2 linked regions of the Cricetulus griseus genome follow. The protein of the gene in region 1 interacts with the protein of each later gene in a biochemical or structural test. Links are inferred from orthologs where the notes say so. Each region holds a gene or a part of one and is shown in the gene's direction. Other genes may lie near its edges. The genes, in order: Nf2 and Cd44.

What was found.
Region 2: the proteins of Nf2 (region 1) and Cd44 form a complex in vitro, tested with the Homo sapiens proteins (2 studies listed by BioGRID, with this or other methods). The link is inferred for Cricetulus griseus from reciprocal best matches to the Homo sapiens genes NF2 and CD44.

Annotation. Positions count from the first base shown.
Region 1 is NW_023276807.1:100,115,685-100,126,476, forward strand, and holds part of Nf2 (merlin), read left to right. Parts: intron 1-963; coding exon 964-1,181; intron 1,182-3,501; coding exon 3,502-3,607; intron 3,608-6,485; coding exon 6,486-6,613; intron 6,614-8,831; coding exon 8,832-8,997; intron 8,998-9,615; coding exon 9,616-9,620; intron 9,621-10,792. UniProt on the Homo sapiens protein: Probable regulator of the Hippo/SWH (Sav/Wts/Hpo) signaling pathway, a signaling pathway that plays a pivotal role in tumor suppression by restricting proliferation and promoting apoptosis.
Region 2 is NC_048599.1:74,841,425-74,852,200, forward strand, and holds the end of Cd44 (CD44 antigen), read left to right. Parts: intron 1-5,311; coding exon 5,312-5,516; 3' UTR 5,517-5,740; downstream 5,741-10,776. UniProt on the Homo sapiens protein: Cell-surface receptor that plays a role in cell-cell interactions, cell adhesion and migration, helping them to sense and respond to changes in the tissue microenvironment.

The DNA of each region.
Region 1 (10,792 bases):
AATTCTTGGGAATACCAACCATAATCTGGGAGTAGTTCTCTTTTTTGAAAGATGTTTGTAACTCTACCTGCTAGCTGCCAGTAATGTCACTCCGACCTTAAAAATGTCCTAGGACTGGGATGTGCCTAAGGAGCAGAGCCCTTTTCTAGCATGCCCAAGATTCTATGTTTTTATTTGTTTTCATGTATTCAGTTTTAGGGCATGGCTAGTGAGAAGACAGGTTTCAGGTGCCCCAGGCTGGACTTTGAGTTCATTATTTAACCAAGGAAAACCCTGCACTCTTGGTCCTGATTGGAGGAGAGGCATACCCACCATGCTCAGTCTACCTTGCATTTAATTCCCCAGCACTGCAGAAAAATAGTCTCCAGACATTTGTGCAGGAGTAGGCAGTAGGCATGACTCCTGCCTTTGAATCATTGACTTAAAGGGACAGAACAGAATTTACATTGCTTATTCCCCTACAAACACAGGCTTTAGCTGGAATGCATTCTCTATCTAGAATGCTTTTTTCTTTTTTCTATGATGGAGCCTGCAGAGCTGAATAGTTGGTGTGTAGCATGTCATCTGTTGTCAGACAGACTGAGTATTTCTCAGTGGGAAGGTACAGGGAGATTAAGACTGGCTCCTGGAGCTGGAGAGATGGCTCAGTGGTTAGCAGCACTGACTCCTCTTCCAGAGGATCCATATGGCAGCTTACAACCTTCTGTAACTCTAGCCCCAGGGGATCCGATGGCCCCTTCTGGCTTCCTAAGACACTGCATATATAGGTGTACAGACATGTATGCAGACATAGCACCTACACACATAAAAATAAAAGTTAAAAAAAAAAAAAGGCTGGTTCTTGTTGCCATGTTGGGGAATCCAGATGTGAGGAGATAAGCCTGTACACTGTCTGAGAGCACTCTCCTTCCCAGATGTGAGGAGATAAGCCTGTACACTGTCTGAGAGCACTCTCCTTCCCAGATGCGGTCTGAGGAAACCGCTGACCTGTTGGCTGAAAAGGCGCAGATCACAGAGGAGGAGGCCAAGCTTCTGGCACAAAAGGCTGCAGAGGCTGAGCAAGAGATGCAGCGAATCAAGGCCACAGCCATTCGGACAGAGGAGGAGAAGCGCCTGATGGAGCAGAAGGTGTTGGAGGCGGAAGTGCTAGCACTGAAGATGGCTGAGGAGTCAGAGAGGAGGTGAGTGGCTGTCCTGGGCACTGGAGCCTGGTAAAGGGTTGCTTGCTTGCTTCCAACCCTACCAGAGCTGGTTACAGCATCCTTAAACTTCTCTGTTGTGGGAACAGGACTATAAGACTTCTTCCTTGACAGGCTGGTGGGATGGGAGGTTCTCTTGTCCAGGGAACCTTTCTGTCATGTCTCCTTCTACTCATGAGGTTTGCAGGAAAAACATTTAAGCATATCCATAGGCTGCTTTTAGCCAAAGAGATAAGAAGAGGCCTCTTTTTTTTTTTTTTTTTTGCATTTAAAAGAGGGAGGGGCAGTGTGCTGGAGAGATGGCTCATGGATTAAGAGCACTGGCTGCTCTCTAGAGAACCTGAGTTTGATTCCCAGGACCTACATGGTGACTTACAACCATTTGTAATTCCAGTTCCAGAGGATGCAACCCCCTCTTATGGCCTCCATGGGCAGCAGGCATGCACATGGTGCACAAACATACATGCAGGCCAAACACCCATACACATAATAAAATAATTTTTTAAAGGGGAAGTGGGGCCGGGGAGATGGCTAATCAGTAAAATACCTGCTGCACAAGCATAAGGACCTGAGTTTGTGTCCCCAGCACCCATGTAAAACCTAAGCACAGTGACATGTATCTATAGCCTCAGCACAGGAGTTAGGAGAGAAAGCAAAGACAGGCTGATCCAGCCAGTGTAGTTGAATTAATGAGCTATTCCTTTATTGAGAAGCCCTCCACTAAAGTGGAGAGCAATAGAGGGTTATACCCCACATTGACCTCTGCACCTGCACACACACACACACACACACACACACACACACACACACACACACACACACACACACACACAAATCATCTTGGTTCTTTTCCCTTTTGATGCAGATCAATGGCAATTATTTACTTCAAAAGGGAAGTAAGTACCCATTTCCCTGCAGTTTTTCAGGTAGTTAGGGGAGCAGAGCAGCTGTGTTTTTTTGTGACCAGGTTGCCCCACCTTGTGTCTAGGTTGAAGGATAGAGCTGTTGTTTGTACTCTTTAGACTATTCTAGACTTTGAGTTGTTCTAGTCCTGTAGCCTTTAGATAAACACTGGCACATCCTCACAGCATCTGGCTCTATGACTTAGAGGACTTGAATATGGCTCTTAGCTACTTAGGTATATTCACTATAGTTTTTCTCACCATTTTTTTTTCAAATGTGCATTTGTGTTTTGCCTGCATGTATATCTATGTGTGTGAGGATATCAAATCTTGGAGTTAGAGTTATGAGCTGCCATGTGGGTGCTGGGAATTGAACCTTGGTCCTCTGGAAGAACAATCAGTGTTCTTAACCACTGAGCCATCTCTCCAGCCCCTCACCACTTTTTGCATGTCATTCTGAGTATATGGTTCCTTGATGCTTGCTCACCCCAGGCTCCTTTCTGTGTGTGCATCATGTCTCTTGGGTTGGACCACTAGCTATACAAGCCTTCCATGGCTATACCAACTCATAGAGCAGAGTGCTGCACCAAGACACAGATGCCTTCAGTGATGGGACTTCTTCCTGCCCAAGCAAAGTGGATAATTGGCCTCCAAGTGTTTTACTGGAGATGTGAAAAACAGTTCTTTCACATTCTGCCCTTTGTGGCCCAGTGGGAGGCTTATGATGATGTCCTCAGTGTAAGACTTGTGATGCCTTCCTTTGCCTAGCCCACTCTTCACCCAGAGACAAGCAGAGCGTCTCTGGGCCCTCCCCACTCTCCCTCCTCTCAGCCCGTTTTAGAGGTGGGTTGGTGGTGCTGTTGTTTGTTTCTTTGTTTTGAGACAGGATGTAATCCTGGCTGTCCTGGAACTCACTCTGTAGACTAAACTGGCCTCAAACTCAAGAGATCTGCCTGCCTCTGCTTCCTAGTGCTGGAGTTTAAGGCATAGGCTACCACACTTGTTATTTTTCTTCTTTTGAGATTGCATCTGCCTGTGTTGCCCAGGCTGTCCTCCAAATCCTGGCCTTAAGTAATTCCCCTGCCTCAGCCTCTGGGGTAGCTGCCACCACAAGCATAACCCACTTTACTGGCTTGCAGGGCTGCCTCATTTGTTGTTTCCCACCAGCTACTCCATATTCTAGTCTAGCTTTACTGTTGAGATAAACAGCACCCAGGAATACTGTTATCACTTTAGAAGTTCTGGCTTCCTGTAAATGTCCCTGTCACATTGTCCTTATTTGTCTTGTTAGGTACCATGTACAGTGTTAATTCAGGTCCTTGCTCTGGAGGTAAGGTAAATGTGTACTCACTCTCTCTGTCCCCCATCTGTGGAACTGACAAATCTTTCTTTCTTTGCAGGGCCAAAGAGGCTGATCAGCTAAAGCAAGACCTTCAGGAAGCCCGAGAAGCAGAGCGAAGAGCCAAGCAGAAACTCTTGGAAATTGCCACCAAGCCCACATATCCAGTGAGTCTGGGCTCAGTCTAGCAGCCTTTAGCTGCTTTCGTCTAGCAACTTCCCTAAGCCCTCCCTGCACTGCACTTCACCTCACAGTGTCTTCAGGGTGACAAAACAAAGCAAAGCCTGGATAGGACCTCCTAATCTGCCATTTAGCCTTGGACTGACTAGTCAGCTACCACTCTTGTTGCTTAGATAACAGACCATAGGGCTGTTTCCAGCTCTGGAATATTTATTACTACTATAGTCTCTACCCTCAAGAGAATTTGCTGTCTAGCTCCCTAATGCCAAGCTAAATGTAATCTTCAGCTGTCAGTATATACTGTGTACCATAATATAGTTCTGTGGAGGGACTGACTCTACACCTCAGAGTGCAACAATGCTGTGCCAGAACCAGCTGCCAACCTCAGTTGGGGACTGGGAGACTGACTTGTACTAAATGGGGGTCACGAGATAAATAGATGTCACTTTCCTTCCTTTCCTCTGCACATTCCACTCTGTAAAGGTTTTGCTCACTTGTTCTCTATCCATATAATACTATCAGTTGCCAGTCTCTATCCTGAAGATATGCACAGGTGCCAGATCACAGCCCAGCTCTGGAGACAGGAAAGGCTTGGTATGGTTGCATTTTGCAGAGGAGCTGGATTCCCTGCTGAGTTGGAAAGAGAGGATGGGATATTCTAGGTAAGAACACAATGTATTTGCAGCACAAACACATAGCCCATTCACACATATGCTACACACACACTGCATAGTTGTGTATATGACAAACACAGCACATTTGTGCACATGGCACATTCACATATTACACAGATGCATTCAGGACACGGAGACATAAGTGCCCAGGGTTTGAGTTGAGGAAATGCAAGCAGTTTGCTATTGCCATGTGTCCTTGTTATCTATTCCTGGGTAACAGATAATCCCCAAACAACCATTTATTTGTGTCTTGGGCATGTTGTGTTAATCAGGCTCATGTCTTCTCTCAAGATCTCTCGGATGGTCACATTCAGGTGACAGCTGGAACTGTGATAGTCTGAGGGCTCAGCTGGGCTACGTACCTGAAATACATGTGTTTAAAACATCTATTGGAGCAAACTTTATAAATTTATAAAACTTTGCTCTTTCCTTTGGCAATGTGTCCTTAATCACATCATGGCCTATGGGTGGATTGTAATTCGGCTAGCCAGTCCCTATAGATGGATATTTAGTATGTTTTCTATAGCAATTTTGAATACAGCTGCACTGAACATCCCTGAACACAAATCTTTGCACACATATGTGGCATTATTGGTAGATTCAGTTCCTGTAAGTAGAACCGTGAGGTCGGATGTTCAATTGTGATACTTACCGAAGAGGTTATGCTAGCTTCTGCTGTCACCAGAAGGGTAACAGCTAGTGTTCTTCCTTCCTGGGATTTTTTTTTAAGTATAAGATAAATAAATATTCCTAAATTATAACTATCCATCCTGATGAATTTTCATAGACCAGACTCTCATATACCCAGCATTCAGCTCTGAAAGCAGAGTGGGGCCCAGATGTCCCTGCTCAGAGCCATGTTTGACGCTCTCCACAGACCCTGTCTCCACAGACGCTCTCCAATGACCCTCATTGCCATAAATGAAAGTTCAGAGGTTCTATTCCTTCCACACACTGTTCCAGACTTGGTTAAAAAAAAAAAGTCCAAGGATGAATAAAGACAGTGTACCCTCAGGAAGTTTGTAGACAGAGGAAAAGATAGCCATAAGGGAACTTCGCAGTGTGGGGTTGAGGGAAAGACCTGTTGCAGCTCTGTGCACACTATGCTAAAGAACTGCAAAGGGAAAGAGCAGCCATTTTGCCAAGAGGGCTATGGCAAGAGACTGAAGGAGTTGAGAACCTTGAAGAAGGAATGGAGAACTTGCTAGACATGACATACACCTGTAATCCTAGTGCTCAGGAGGCTGAGACAGAGGCTCACGAGCTTAAGACCAGCTTGGGCTATGTGGTGAGACCCTATCTCAAAAATGACAAGAGGGCTGCGGATATAGCTTAGTGGTAGTGTTTACCTAACATGCACACCCCTAGTACCATGAAAATGGTACTAGGAAAATGACAAGGAAAGAGGAAGAGAGGAAAGCAGCCAGGAGGGAAAGAAGGAAGGATACATGCAGAAGTACACAAATGCAAAATTGGCACGGCCCAAGGGATAATAAGCAGTGCTGTTTATGATTTAACAGGACAAATAATGGGGAACATATGAGAGGTAGCTAGGGGCTATATGCTAGGTGACCTTTTGTTTTGGGATGAAAAGGTCCTGAAAACAAGTCTAGTGACTTTACTTTATTTCAAGTCCTCCTCTGACTGTGTCTTCTGAATCTAAGCCTGTAACATATGAGCAAAGCCTTTCTGGTCCAAAGCCAGTCTCCTACCAACCTCCCTGCCGGGCACTACAGATGTCCAGTGCTCCTGTTGGACCCCTGCACTCTGCCTACCACCATGCCTCTTTTCTGGTACCCTTCTTTGGCTTATTCACTGATCCCCATGGAAGCAGTACCCTAGTGACCCCCTCCAGCCTCCTAAGCCTCTGTTCCTGTCCTGGCTAGTGTTTAACTTACTGTGAGAATTTGTAGACATCTGCTTCCTGAACAAGACTTTCATGTGCTTAGAGCCAGGGAGCCTGTCTTTTCTGTGTCCAGCTCATAGCCCCACGCCTGGGAGTTTCCCACATGTAAAGCTGAGTGCAAATTTGCATTTGATTCAAATGATCATGGAAATGCTGAGGTTTGAGGAGAGAAGAGTGACTTTGTCTGAATGTGGGTGCTTTGGGACCACTTCCCTGCAGTACTGAGTGCAAAGGGCGTTGTCCTGTGTAATTTAAACCTCCTAATCTGAGTTTTCTCACTGACAGCCTGTGAACCCAATCCCAGCACCACTGCCTCCTGACATACCAAGCTTCAACATCATTGGTGACAGCCTATCATTCGACTTCAAGGATACTGACATGAAGAGACTTTCCATGGAGATAGAGAAAGAAAAGTATGTACCCTCTGTGGCCTACTTGCTTGAGGCAGTTGTGAACATGAGAGAGTAGATTTGGTCTGGGAACACAAAGGTCACCACAGCAGTTAGTCAGTCATTATCCCTGCAAAGGTTTGCTCTGTTGTCACCCACTAGGAGAACAAATTTCCTAATTAGAAATTAAAGATGACCGATCAGGACAGTAGTCAGTGTCCCCAGAAGAAAAATAACATTTGATTGGTGGCCTGGAATTTATAGTGGTTCAAACCTTGACTGACAAAAAGACTGGATCATGGTAAGTCCCCGAGTCAGACTGTTGTTCACATAGTGCTTAACTAGTTTTCTTCTGGTCATGTTCTTCAGCAGTGGTTCCTATGTCTAAAACAAAGGTGAAGGAAAAGAAAACAAAAAACAAAACAGGGTTTCTAGGCTGAGCAAAGCGTGGGTCCTGCTGGCAACCAGCCAAACCACAGCTGCTTCTGTCAAGTGCCCTCCACCTCCACTTTGTGGTCAGCGGAAGTGAAGCAGAGATGGAGAGGAATCCCGTGGTAGATGAAATCTAAGTAAGATCCCCCTCAGTCCTTGAGTAAGTTGGTTAATAGTGCCACAGCTGGCAGAGAACAATCACGGAGGCCCTATGTGTTGAGCACCTGTAAGTCTGGGCATTTTAGGGTTTGTCTTATTTAACTCATACTAGTCAACAAATATCCCACTGGCATCAAAGGCAGGTTTTAGGGACTGGTGATATAGCTTAGTTGGTAGAGGGCTTGCCCAACATGTGCAAAACCCTGAGTTTAATCTCCAGCACAGTATAAGTCAGGCATGGTGCCTACACCAGTAATCTTAGTTCTCAGGAAATAGAGATATGAGGATCAGAACTGCATTATTATCTTTGGCTACTTAACAAATTCAAGTCTAGCCTGAGCTACATGAGGCCCTATTTCCAAAAAAACAGTTTTAGTGTTCTAATTATATAAAAGAGAATAGACTTAATGAGTCACCCAGCATCACATAGTTGATGAGGAGCAGGACAAGGATTGAAACCCCTTACTCACTGTGGTACTCTCAGAATAGGGCTCTGCAGTCCAGCATGAACCATCATAAACCAGGCTATCCTCCTTTGATCCCTCTACTGAGAACAGCTAAGGAGCTGTGATCCAGAGCCGCTGCTGTCAGCATCAGACTGAGTCCCTTTCTTATTGTCCAGATGTACATGTTTATGTGGTTGTGATCAGCATAAGGCCACATCCTGTCCTGTGCCTTGGTTTTTTTATAGTTTGTATTTTCTCACTGACTTAGTGTGTTTGGCTGTTATAACAAAATGCCAGAAGCTGGAAAGCCTATAAACAACAGAAATTTACTTCTCGTAGTTCTGAAGGCTTAGAAATCCAAGGTCAAGGTATTGTCAACTCAGAGTTCAATGAGAGTACTCTTCCTGTTCATAGATGGCCCTTGCTGTGTACTCGTATGTGTCAGGATCTCTTTAGGGTGTTTTTTGTTTTTTTTAAGGACACAAATCCCATCATGAGGCTGAACTAGTTACTTCCCAGGGCATCACCTCCTAATACATGAGTGAGTTGGCCACAGTCTATGAATGGGACAGCACTACATTCAGCCCATAGCACTTATTTCCTACACAGGCTGGCAGAGCCCACTGACTGGCTGCTGTAATCTGTTCAGAATGTTTCCTTATATTTGTGTTATATGGTTTTCTGTTCATGCTCTTATGGTTAAACACTTTAACCTCTTCAGGTGAAAGTGGAGACCTGTTTTTTCTCAGTGTTGGCTGAGTGAGTGTCTGCCATCTTTTCCTAAAGGTCTCAGGATAAGTGGGAGAGTAGATCTCTTGGTTGACTGCTTCAGGAGGGGCAGAAACAGAAGAGTGTTTTGGGATTCAGGAGGTTTGTTTGATGTGATTCTTCATACAGAACTGAAAGCTGTCTGTGGCAGGGTTATTTGGAGAACACTCTGAAAGTTTATACAGGGCTTTCTTCCTACACTTCATTTCTTCCTGACCAGAGGCTCTGTAATTATTATCCCAATTGCACTGATGTGGAAAAGAGATTATTGCAGTTAAGTGGGTAGCCCAAGCTCCCTTGGCTTCTGCGTGGCCAGGTTCAGGTGTGAACCCCAGGCTGCTCCTGGCTATCATACCGAACAGCTTGTAAGTTATGATGCATCCCTTCCATGCCTCAGTGTCTGCCCAGTTCTGATGCATGGTTTCCTCTTGCCACAGAGTGGAGTACATGGAGAAGAGCAAGCATCTGCAAGAGCAGCTCAATGAACTCAAGACGGAAATCGAGGCCTTGAAACTCAAAGAGAGGGAGACAGCCTTGGATATCCTACACAACGAGAACTCAGACAGGGGCGGCACCAGTAGCAAGCACAATACCATTAAAAAGGTACCCTAGTCCCTGGGTTTTGATGAACAGGATACTTATTAATGAAATATGAGGTTGGCATCTAGTTTCCTCAAGAGCCCAGTCATTAGACTCTTGTTTTTTTTCTTTTCTTTCTTTCTTTCTTTCTCTCTCTCTCTCTCTCTCTCTCTCTCTCTCTCTCTCTCTCTCTCTCTCTCTCTCTCTTTTTTAACATGTACTTAGTTGAGGGGATTTTTCAACTCCTGACAGAAAGAATTTAATCTGCCAATGACCATGAACCCATTGGCTTGATGGAAGTGGAGCTTGTGTTAAAAGCTCTGATGAGATGAGTCCCTGTTTGAGGATGGGTTTTGATCTATCACTGAGCACTAAAGTGATTCTGTCTTTAAAGCCAGTGGAACTTATGCCCAAGGAACTGCCTTAATTAATGAGAGAGCAGAATGAATTAAAGGCTGTTGAATGGAGTCCCCTCTCGTCTTTGTGTAAGACCATGTTATGAATGTCCAACATTTTCATACTTAAAAGGCAGAATATAGGAGAGCTGTAATGTTTAAGAAGATGAGACTTTATTTAGGAGGCTCAGAGTCTCATCTGCCTCTCCTGATATTTAGAGTGCTCATCACTTTAGAAGTTACTCAGTCCTCGTTATCAGGCTGAGAATGTACATATCTCTTATTTGGGCAAAGCAGGAAGTTTTTTCTGGAAAGTTAATGCTTTTAGCTGATTGTCCCTGTAAAACAGGGGTTATAAAGTGATTGGTGTGGTGACATACTCTTGTAACGCTAGCATTTAGGAGTGAATGGCAGGTGGATTGCAAGTTCAAGGCCATTCTGGGCTACAGAATAAGACCCTTTTCTCCTTTGAGTTTGAATGATAACTAATGTAGTTAAGTTTTACTCTTTATTTCAGTCAGCAGTCTCCAGTTTAAGGACTGTCTCTGTTTTCAGTGATTAAGTTGTCACTGGAAATCCAGAGAAACTCATATCTCCCTACATTTCACTGGTGTGTGGGTGTATACACACATACATACATACACATACACACATACACACACACACACACACACACACGGAGTCGGGAGCTCTACTTCTTAACATGTTACAGTGGACACCAAGTAGAGAACTACTCCCAATACCATAACCTACCAGGGGAGGCGTTGCCACACACCACACACTATTTCCCCCAGCGCCTGTTGTTTTCTGGGTTTCTCCTTTCAAACAAAATTATTAAACATCAAAGGTAGTTAAAACCAGGCATGGTAGCCCACAGAACTCAGGAGGAGGAGGCAGGAAGATTGAAGGTCATTTTTGGCTACATAGAAAATTCATGTTAAGCCTGAGCTATATAAGACCCTGCCTATTTCATAAAGGGAGGCCTCACCAGGCAGTGGTGGCACACACATTTAATCCCAGCACTTGGGAGGCAGAGGCAGTTGGATCTCTGTGAGTTCGAGGCCAGCCCGGTCTACAGAGCAAGTTCTAGGACAGCTAGGGCTACACAGAGAAACCCTGTCTCAAAAAACAAAAACAAAAAAATATATGGAGGCCTCTATCCTTAAGCCAAAACAGCCCTGAGGGAGCAACTTCAGACCCCTCATCCTGCCTCCTTGTCATCTGGATACCCTGAGCAGTAGCCTGTGCTGCTGCTCTGTGGTAACCTGGGCTCTCAGCCACAAAAGCCTGGAGTGCTGAAAACCAGAGGCCTGTGTTCAAGCCATGAAAGTATATGAAGTCACTTGTCTTGATTCTGAACATTTTGCAAATGGCACGTATGGCATTTTGATTTCACAGGGTATGTCTTTGTTTTTTTTCGTTTT
Region 2 (10,776 bases), on another chromosome or scaffold:
TCCAGAAGTCCATTTGTATGCTAGGGATAAATACTGATCTACTACCAGAGGCCCCATAGATTGCCAAGGCCTCCTCCCTGACACCCATATTCAGGGGACCTTGATCAGTCTTGTGATAGTTTCCCAGCTATTAGTTTGGGGTCCATGAGCTCCCCCTTGTTCAGGTCAGCTGTTTCTGTGGGATTCACCAGCCTGGTCCTGACCCCTTTGCTCATCACTCCTTCCTCTCTGCAACTGGATTCCAGGAGTTCAGTTCAGTGTTTAGCTGTGGGTGTCTGCTTCTGCTTCCATCAGCTATTGGATGAAGGCTCTAGGATGGCATATAAGGTAGTCATCAATCTCATTATCGGGGGAGAACATTTATGGTAGCCTTTCCACTATTGCTTAGATTGTTAGCTTGTGTCATCCTTGTAGCTCTCTGGTCATTTCCCTAGTGCCAGATTTCTCTTTAAACCCATAATGGCTCCCTTTATTGTTGTTCAGAAACAATAAGCAACTCTTTCCAGCGCCCAGCATAGTCTCTGTAGGCTTTCTTATCATCTTCAGAGTAATACTGTTTTATTTTATTTAGGGTTAATGAAAATGTTCAACCAAGTCACAGCATTGCTACCTATACTTTGAGAGCATAATGAAAACATTAGTCATGAGCACTGACCACATACCAAAACTGAGGGGAAATCTAAGAGATCTCCTTTGGGCTCCTATGACTGGATAGAAACAGGCTTATTTTTAGTTCAACTTAGATGTGTAAGTTGGGGATTCCCTTCAAAGAGTTTTTATTCTTCCTCTTGGATTATTTTTGCTCAATTAAATATGAATTTCCTTTTGTTTGGAATCAGCCTTTGATTCCAGACCCTAGGAGGTATCACATATACAGTCCATAAGTTTTGCAGATGTCACCATAGAGATGTCCCCAATGCTGTTGATGTGTGGGGCCCTCCCCAAACATCTCAACTGTCCCTGAGAGCAGTTGGAGTCTGCACATTGTCACATTGTGGCATCTCATCCCACATGGTTCTCTGTCTCCTCAGTGGCAGAGAAAGGGCCTCATGGCCTCTCCTCTTCTTGTCCCCAGGCCAGCCATCACCCTAGCAACAGAAAAACAGAGACAGGCAGAAGCTGGCTGAACTAGCCTCTCACCAGAAAAGCAGCTTCATGGACACCATAAATTACTGTGTCCTGATTTGATAATTGAAAACAGATTTGCCACGCTGCTGAAGGGTGGTTAACGGCCACACAGGCCCCTTAATGTGTGTTGTCTTCCTAAAGCTAATAGCCCATCTCTAATCCTGTTAGGAGGCAAGAGCCTTTCTGCTTTGAACACTGCATTTAAGAAAGATAGGGAACCCTATTTTCATCCAAAAAATTTTGGTGGAAAATGAGGCCTCCAGAGGGGATTCATTTATCCAATAACATCTTTTGCAGGCTTCTATGGCTGTTAGCCCTGATGAGGAATGAGAGAAAATGAAGACAGTGTTTCTTCTTTAAAAGTTTTGAGGCTTAAATATGCCAGGGCCTCATACCTACTAAGAGCTGGAAATGTGGTTCAGTTAGTAGTGGATTGCTGAGCACAAATGAGGCCCTGAGTTTCATGTCCCCAGAACCTACATAAAAAGCTAGACATGGTAGTGTGAACTAACAATCCCAGCACTGGGGAGGCAGATCCAAAAGTCTCTCCCTGGAGCTTACTGGACAGTCAGCCTAGCCAAATTGATGAGCTCCAGATTCAGTGAGAGATCCTGCCTCAAAATAAATAAATAAATAAATAAATAAATAAATAAATAAATAAGGGGGAGAGTGACTCAGGAAGACACATTGACCTTTGGTCTCCACACTCATGTGCACCCAGGAGCCCACAAACCTATGTATGCACACACACACACACACACACACACACACACACACACACACACACTACTAATTCCATCCAGTCACTATTGAGGACACCTTGGTGCTCAGTGCATCAACCACACATACAAACACACAGGGGCCATGAGAATCACAGCTTCTTAATGGTTCTGGTGGGGAGGGGCTCAGAGAGGTGGCTCAGCAGTCATGAGCACTGGCTCTGGACCTCTGTACTTCGGCAGTAGCAAAATTACAGTTATGAAGTAGCAACAAAAATAAGTCTATGGTTGGGGAGTCACCACAACATGAGGAACTGTATTAAAAGGTCGCAGCATTAGGAAGACTGAGAACTGCTGATTTGGAGTAACAATCTGGTCCTGTCCGAATGCACAGGCATATTTCAATACTTAGAGTGCATTTTCCTTTGTTTCTTATTCTACCCTTCAACTCTCTGGTTGATAAACAATAAGCAAGTGAGACTTAGTTAAGTCAGGCAATTGTCCTCTAAGAACGCAGGCTATGCAACCTGAGAATTTGAAATAAGACAGCAATGTTCTCCTCCAGCCTTTGAGTTATCCTACCAGTGCTTAGAGGAAGGCCAATGGTGGGCTGGGGTTGTCAGGGTCAGAGCCCGAACCCTAGCCCCTGACTTGCCCACCCATTCCCAATAGGCTAGTTACAGTTTCACAATTCACTGTGAAAAGCAGAGAAAGGAGAGGTAGTCAGTTGTGGCCACATTGGGAAGAGGAACAAATAAAGCTATCCCATGACAACTCTTCCCCCAGTCCATCTTCAGAGTCCAAACATGAGTTTAAGGTTTAAATAGAAGGCAAGAGGTATGAACATGTAAGCGATTATAGTGAAGGCATGATGCCACCCATCATTGACCCAGCATTGTCAGAGCTCCAGATTGTCCTGCACGGAAGTTGTTACAATTTGTGGGAACTATGTGAGCTCTCTATCCCAAAGACAAGTTCCCCTCTGGCTGGCCCCAGGATTCAGCCTTTTTCTTCCCCCAAGTATGAGATTCTTTTTGGAAGAAATTCCCATTTCTTAGGGTCCCTTGTTTTAACTGTCTGATGGCCCAAAGGAGGGGCACGAAGGTCTCTCTAGGATGTTGTCATCCCTGTCGGGTGGTTACAGTGGAAGCAGCTGAAGAAACCACTAGAGTTCACATCACGTGGCTTTCATCCCATTAACGACTGCAGCCAGCACTTCTGAATGCTTACTATATTCCAGGTTCTCCTCTGATTATCCCAGGCCTTATTTCAACCCACATTGTTCATAAAACAGTAAATAGCAGTAGTAGGCAGACTATGGAGTTCCCTCTGTGTGAAGTACTTGCCCCAATCCTGTGAGGCTGACAGTCCAACAGCCTGATTTCACAAGTACATATTATCAACTGAGGCTCAGAGAAGTCAAGTGAGATGCTTCAGGTCACACAGCTTTAAGATCTCAATACCAAGCCAACTAAAGTCCTTCATCATGCATCCTGCTGTCTCTATGGACCCCACCTACATCCCCACCCCTCATCCATTTATTTTACAGTTGGAACATCTTTCCTTCCACCCTTCCCCATACCTGTGCTGGAAGATACAGAATCTGCTTCCTGTTGAGGCAGTATGGTTTTGACTTTCCCAAACAGGAGATTAAAGTTTATGACCTTGGCAGTCTTGCAGGGAAGAGCCCATGATCACAAATAATAGACGCTTTGACTCTAGACCTGGAAATATCCAGCAGCAAAGAGAACTGTTCCAACTTCATTGTTTTCAAATCTTCAGCACTGACAGGGCCAGGGTGAATGCAGCCTTTTCAGTCCGAAGCTCAACATCTGAATATGGACTCTGTCGTTCTTACTTCTTCTGCAATCTCAAACCAGCCCTTAAAGTGCTCTGGTCCTCAGTTCCCACTGCTGCAAGAGTGGGAGTGAAAGCTGCTTTAATAAGGATTATAACAAACTACTTGTACTGTGTCTGGAATTGAGCATGCATTTAATAAGTGCTCATCTATTTCCCCTCGTCATAGTTGTGAAGCTCTAAGACTTTGCATCCATTAGCCTAATATAACTGCTATATGCACAGCAGTGAGCAGGTTACAACAAGGAGGAAGCTCTGAGTCAGATTGTGTGGGACCAGGCAGGGCTATGAGAATCACAAGGGCAAGGTCAGAGTCATGCTTTCCACAGAAACCCTTCTCCTGTCTGAGAATCTTGAGTAACATTACTAAGAAATCTCAAAGTGACAACAAATGGTCTTTCTTACATTGGTTTTAAGCATCCTATAGCAGCATATGTGAAAGTTAACCAACCTTAGAGAAACAAAAATCAGTATGGCCTTGTCCTTCTGAATCAGTGTTGGTTTCTTATATTCTGTCCATGTTGTAATAATACTGACAAGGGCTGAAGGAGGAAGTAGCGGAACTTTCTTGGATACACAGATCAGAATGATTTATGATCACAGTCGTCACCGTTTATCTGAGGCTGTGGAACTTGAATGCTTCACAGGCAAACATTTGCACTGCATGGTATGGGGGATGGAGAACCAGGACTCCAGAGTCAGAAGGATCAGGGTTTGCATCCTGACTCTTTCATTGCTTGTTAACTAACTTAGAAAGACTTGGATTTTCAGATCCCTAACAATTTCTTCAGCTGTAAAGGGCTGGGGGTAATAATAGCTTTGGGTACCTGATTCTCAAAGTTGACTGCAGCAGAAGTCACCACAGTGTGGTGGTTTATTGTTTGTTCCAAGTACCACAGACTGAACCTAGAGTATCATGCATGCTAGGCAAGTACTCTACCACTAAGCTATACATATCAGACTTCTTTTGCCTTTTTATTTGAAGACTGGGTTTCATTCACTATCCAGATTGGTCTTGAACTCATTTTGTAGTCCAAGAAGGCCTTGAACTTGTGATCTTCCTGTCTCAGCCTCCAGAGTAGCTGCAATTATAGTCTGTTAAACCTCAGATCCTGGGCCCCACCGCCTTCTGATTTCTTCTTCAGTAAGCAGTAGAGTGGATAATGTCCATGTCTGAGAAGTCCCCAGGTGCTTTTGCTGCTGGACTAGGGACCTCACTTTAAGAAGTGCTGGTGTCAGTAGGCAGTGGTGGTGCATACCTTTAATTCCAGCACTTGGGATGCAGAAGCAGGCAGATCTCTGAGGTGGAGACCAGCCTGGTCTACAGAGTGAGTTTCAGGACAGGCAGAGCTATCCTGTCACAAACAAACAAACAATTAAGTGCTGGTGTTATGAGTTAGGAGGACCAAGTAGAAAGGGCACCATGCCCAGTGCTTAGCACATGGGAAGACCATGCTAACTTGTACTGATGATCATGTTGATATCCCCTGTGGTTTCAGTCATGATGATGATAGTTGGTTGATGGATTGATTGATTGATTGATTGATTGATTGATTGATTGATTGATTGTGTACCTTTTCTCATATGATGTTTTTAAAACTCATCAGGTGTGGGCAGAAGAAAAAGCTGGTGATCAACAGTGGCAATGGAAAGGTGGAGGACAGGAAGCCAAGTGAGCTCAACGGGGAGGCCAGCAAGTCTCAGGAAATGGTGCATTTGGTGAACAAGGAACCCTCAGAGACTCCAGACCAGTTTATGACAGCGGATGAGACCCGGAATCTGCAGAATGTAGACATGAAGATTGGGGTGTAGTGCCTATACCAGTAACTTGGAAAGACACCAAAATCGCAAACATGTCAATACTGGGAGCTGGGACCCTTAACAGATGCAATGTGCTACTGATTATTTTTATTGGGGGTAGTTTCTGCACAAAATTTTCTATTCCTTTTGCATTTTGTTAAAAGTCTGTTCCAATTTATGAAAACAGCATTGCTTTCTGAAATGAGGGCCCAAAGAATACTCCATTAAGAATTTGACTCTTCCAGCTCCTTCCTAGAGGTCTTGCATTCCCAAGGGATGCTATGGATGGCTTCTATCAAATGCAAATTCCTGGTCCCTATTGAATCTTTTCCCTAACCTAAGTCCCAGGTAACAGCCACCAGCCAGGGACTTACCCCAGGGCTTAGAGGGATTGGTCTCTGGGAAGAAATTTGAACGGGTCCATATTGCCTCTCCAGCAGCCCAATCTCGGGCATTGCTTTCCAGTGGGGTGGGAGATCAGGTGTACTGGTTACATACCTTTTTTTTTTATAGACTCCCCTCTCTGCTGGAAAATTTTCAGATGCTTCTGAAAGAACCCCAAAGGGTGAAGCTATTTATCTGTAGTAAGCTATTTATCTTTGTTTTTGAAAAATCAAACCCTGGAGGTCCTTTGTTCAGTATGACTTTTTTTTTTAGTTTATTTTTGTCAGAAGCATAACAGGGTATAAGTTGATTCATAATAAACACCTGTCCATCTTCCATATTGACCTGTTGTGCTGTGATCCTTCAGTTTCTAAACCAGCAAGGTTTGAGTCTTCATAGCATATCAGGATGACTTTAGAATGGTCCTCCTAAACCTGTGCCAGAGCATCTATGCCCAACTCAGGTTCACCAGGCTGAATTTCCTAAAAGATCAAACAAAGAAACACTGTTTTGTATCTAGGGCTATCAAAAGGGTTTCTCTCCTATTCTGGAATCTGAATTGTGTGTAGGAAAGCTTTAATCACCTTTGTGTTTGGGCCACCCTTTTCTCTCCCTTAAAGGGCACATTAAGTTTCTATGTCCTTCAGTTTTTAGAGTCTTATTTCGTAGAAACTGATCCTACTAGTGACTTCACAAAACAATATGGTGCATACTTGTGACACCTTACAATGAAAGAGCAGCCAACAGAAATTAAAGTGCAGACAGCAAGCAGTAGATTGGCATAAGGAGGGTGCGGTGTACAACCCATCCCACTATTTCCATGGATGTGCTTGTTGACATTTTCACAAACCAGTTGGTCCTCAGAATGAGGTGCCTGGGAATCCCCCAGAAAGCCTCAGGGCTGCCCACTACTGGAATCTTATCAACGGATAAGCAGACTTATGGTTTAGCCAAGGGAGAATGGTGTTACCCTCTAACCTCATTTTTTTTTCCCACATTTTGGGTAAGTGTTTGGTGGCATTTATCCATCTGCCGGAATGTCCCATTGCTCCTGGATCTTCCCTGGTTACTTGTAGAAGAAATTAAATCTATAAAGTAAGGCTTTCTGTAAGATGAGACTTCCTTTCTAAGTCTCCCATGGTGTTACTGTTGACTAAATTTATATGTTTAATATTTTTTCAAATAAAAAAATGCAAGAGAAAAGTTTACCATCTAAATTGGGTTTGAGTTTATATCAAGAGTGGACTCAGGCTTTATTTAAGGAAATGCACAGACTTTCCAAAACTATTTCTAGCCTCAGCTTCCCCTACCTACTTTCCCTCCTTCCCTGTTCACCTCTCTCCAATGCCATGGCTCCCACAGATTTTCTTTTTCTTCCTCTGTGAATGTTTATTAGTCAGTTTCATATTTAGACACTTAGTTTTTTTCTTCTTTTCCAGTTGAAATACACACTAGGTGACTGTTTATTCTTCTCAACTGGTGTTAGAATGTTCCTTGTCCTTACAGCTGTCCTGGCCTGACATGCCCACAACAGGATCACCTGGGCTCTTTAACCTGTATGCAGCAAACCACTCTGGAATTGTGTATAAAGGGTACAAAAGACTCTTCCATGCTCTCCTTGATACTTAGATACCCTTTAGAGGCACTAGGAGAGGCATGTAAGTCTCAGGGCCAGAGACGATTCTCTACCCATTCCAGATATGCCTACCAGTTGGATTGGGGTAGGATAATACTTGCCATGATGATTATGATTCTGGTAGCATAATCTGACTTTGTGTTACTCCTACCAATGACTTGCCAGGTGATAGAGGATAAGTCATTGAACTGGGAGTTTGTTAATAAAAATAAGGGGGTGACATTTAGTGATTTTTGTAAAGTAACATGAGCACTTCAGATGTTATTTTTACCAGCAATTGTAAATTTCTCGTGTGTCCTGAAGGCTTTCTTTAAGAAAAAAGCTTTACATTGTCATCCATAACACCAAGAACTGGCTTTATAGCCAACATGCATTCAAGACTGTTGAAACAAAGTAGAAGAAAGAGCCACATTCTTCGGGAAATTAAAAGGTTCCGAGGAACAAGAATTGACCACTTTGTGAAAATCTCCTGTGTTGACTTTTCAAGTGCAGCCAATTGTTATGTATGTACAATGACTTTTGTTATCGTTCCTTTGATTTTTTTTCAGAGACCACCCTCCCTTTCTCTGGTTTTTGTATATTTATTGATTGACCAATAATAATGAGGAAAGCGTGATGTATATATCGCCCAATTGAAAGTGTGTATTGGAAAACATTAAAAAGCCATAAGAAATGGAACCCATGGTCTCTGATGTGAGGGGCCTGGGAAGTGGGGAGGGGCAGAGAGTGACTCTCTGGATGTCTGAGTAATGTGGAAGAACTCATAGGTTTCTGAGGCATCTGGACTCATGTTCCTTTTTTGTTTTGTTTGCATGTGTATAGAAAAACATGCTGGAGCAGACATGTATGTGGAAGCCTGAGGTGGATATCAAGGTCATCCCTGCTGACTCTTCCACTTTATTCATTGAGGCAGAGTCTTTAAATTAAACCCAAAGCTCTCCAGTATGGCTAGTCTTGCTAGCCACCTTGCTCTGGGTTTCAGGTGACCCACTATGCCCACCAATGTTTTACATGGGTTCTAGGGATCTGATCTCCAGTCTTCACAGATGTGCTATAAGTATATTAACCCCTGAGTCATTTCCACAGCCCTAGAACTCTTGATCCCTCTGCTCCTACATCCCAAGTGTTGGGATTACAGTGATGTACCACTTAAAGAAAGAAACAACAATAACAAACAAATACACAAACTTCCATCACTTGAATTTAATGTTGAGGAAAAGTTTGACTGCCCCCAGGAGATACATTCTTCAGAATCATCTAAGCAATGGATGATTGGATGCTGTAAAGTGTGACCTCCTAAAATGCCTAGGGCTGCCTTTGGCCTCTTGGTTTATGAGAGTAGTAAACATACCTTAATTCCAACTATCATGACAGCTTCTTAACCACATCTGGGGCTGCAGATCAGTTGAGAGAGTACTTGCTTGGTATACACAAGGGCCTGAGTTCCATTCCCAGCACTACACATATTGGTGTAGTGGTGTGTGTTACGATAAATCTTTCTGCCAAAAGCTGCCTGAGCCCCACCGCCATGTGTGAGCTTTATGTCAGCCACCCGCTAGAGTTAGGCCCAAATGAATACATAGAAACTTGTATTAGGTTCAAAGCTGCTTGGCCAATAACTAGGATTCCTCATCTGTTAGCTCAGTCTCAATTATCATAAATCTATATATTTTATAAGACTTATCTTATCGGACACCTTATTGGTGTCCCTCCTTGCTGGTGGCTCATATCCTGTCGCTGGAGGAGGCGAACGGGAAAAAAGGGACCCTTCCTGTTTCTCCTTCGCTTAAATATGAGTCTCCTTGCTATGTCACTTCCTGCCTGGATCAGCACTTCTCTACTACATTTCCCAGAATCCTCTTTGACTCCTAGTTCCATCTAACTTGCTGTCTCATTGGCCAAACAGTATTTTATTTAACAATCAATAAGATAAACATATACAGTACATTCCCCGTCAGGTGTGTGTCTGTAACCCTGGCCTTTGGAATTTAGAGTCAGTAAGATCTGAAGTTCAAGGCTATTCTTGGACACATATTGAATGTTGGGCCAGCTAGGATACATGAGACCCTCTCTTCAACAAAAGGACATGACAGAAATGAAGAGTTATTCTCAAAAGAAGCTTGGGAGGAGAAAGGAGAGCAACAATACTTTGAAGCTAGGAAATGGTGGTTAACTGATAACTGGTTGAAAATTTTGGAAGTGTTCAACCCTAAATCAATTGTGGGGAAAGTGAAATGATTGCCACAGAGGCCCAGAAATTGGCATTGGTAACTATCCTGCAAATGATGAGGAAGGTGGATGAGCAGTTGGAGTCCCAGCCCCCTCCCTTCCTTTATGCAGTCTAGTTTATTGTCCTTTCACAATCCCCACAGAAAAGCAAAAATATATTATTTGGAGAGGGTAAAATAGTTAAGGGCAACAAGGGAGACACAGTTGGCAATATAAATATCTCCTCTCTCTCTCTCTCTCTCTCACTCTCTCTCTCTCTCTCTCTCTCTCTCACACACACACACACACACACACATACACACACACACACACACACACACACACACACACACACACACACACACTCTGAAGTTGTGCATATGGACCTGTTCAAATTCCCTGGTCTTCTCTTTCTTCTTGGCTTCCAGAACACTGTCAAAGTCCTGATTCCTTCAAGAAGTTCCACCTTTCTATGGAATTTTACAAGCCTGGAAAAAAGTCTGAAGACACTAATATGATAGTGCCTCAGGGAAACAGACAGGGGCTGTGCAGTAAGGATCAGTAAGTAAGACTCAAACTAGGGCCTGGGCATGATACTGTAGAGCTGGATAAGATACTGTTCACCCAGAATCCCAGCTCTTGTGAGTCAAAAATAGAGGAAGATAAGTCTGATAGGTCAGCTACATAGAAAGACCCTGTCTCAAAAATCAAATCAAACAAACACAACATAACCAGAAGAAAATCAGACTTCTCACTCATCACTGTGGAAGAAAGAAGGCCAAGAGACATGGTGGAATAAAAGCTTCCTGCCCATGGGAAGCTTCCCAGATGGGATGTGCCCCAAAAGACTTTTCCAGAGGCTTGGATATTTCCAAAATAATCTGATCTTCAGCCCACACTGAGCCTAGGAGAGTAGTAAATATCTGTGTACCTATAATACCCTCACCAAACCAAGGGCACCTAGAATTGGAAAAGTAATTGGAGGCCTTCAAGAATACAAAATTGGAATTTTTCACTTGAACTAAATGAACCTCATGAAGGTGT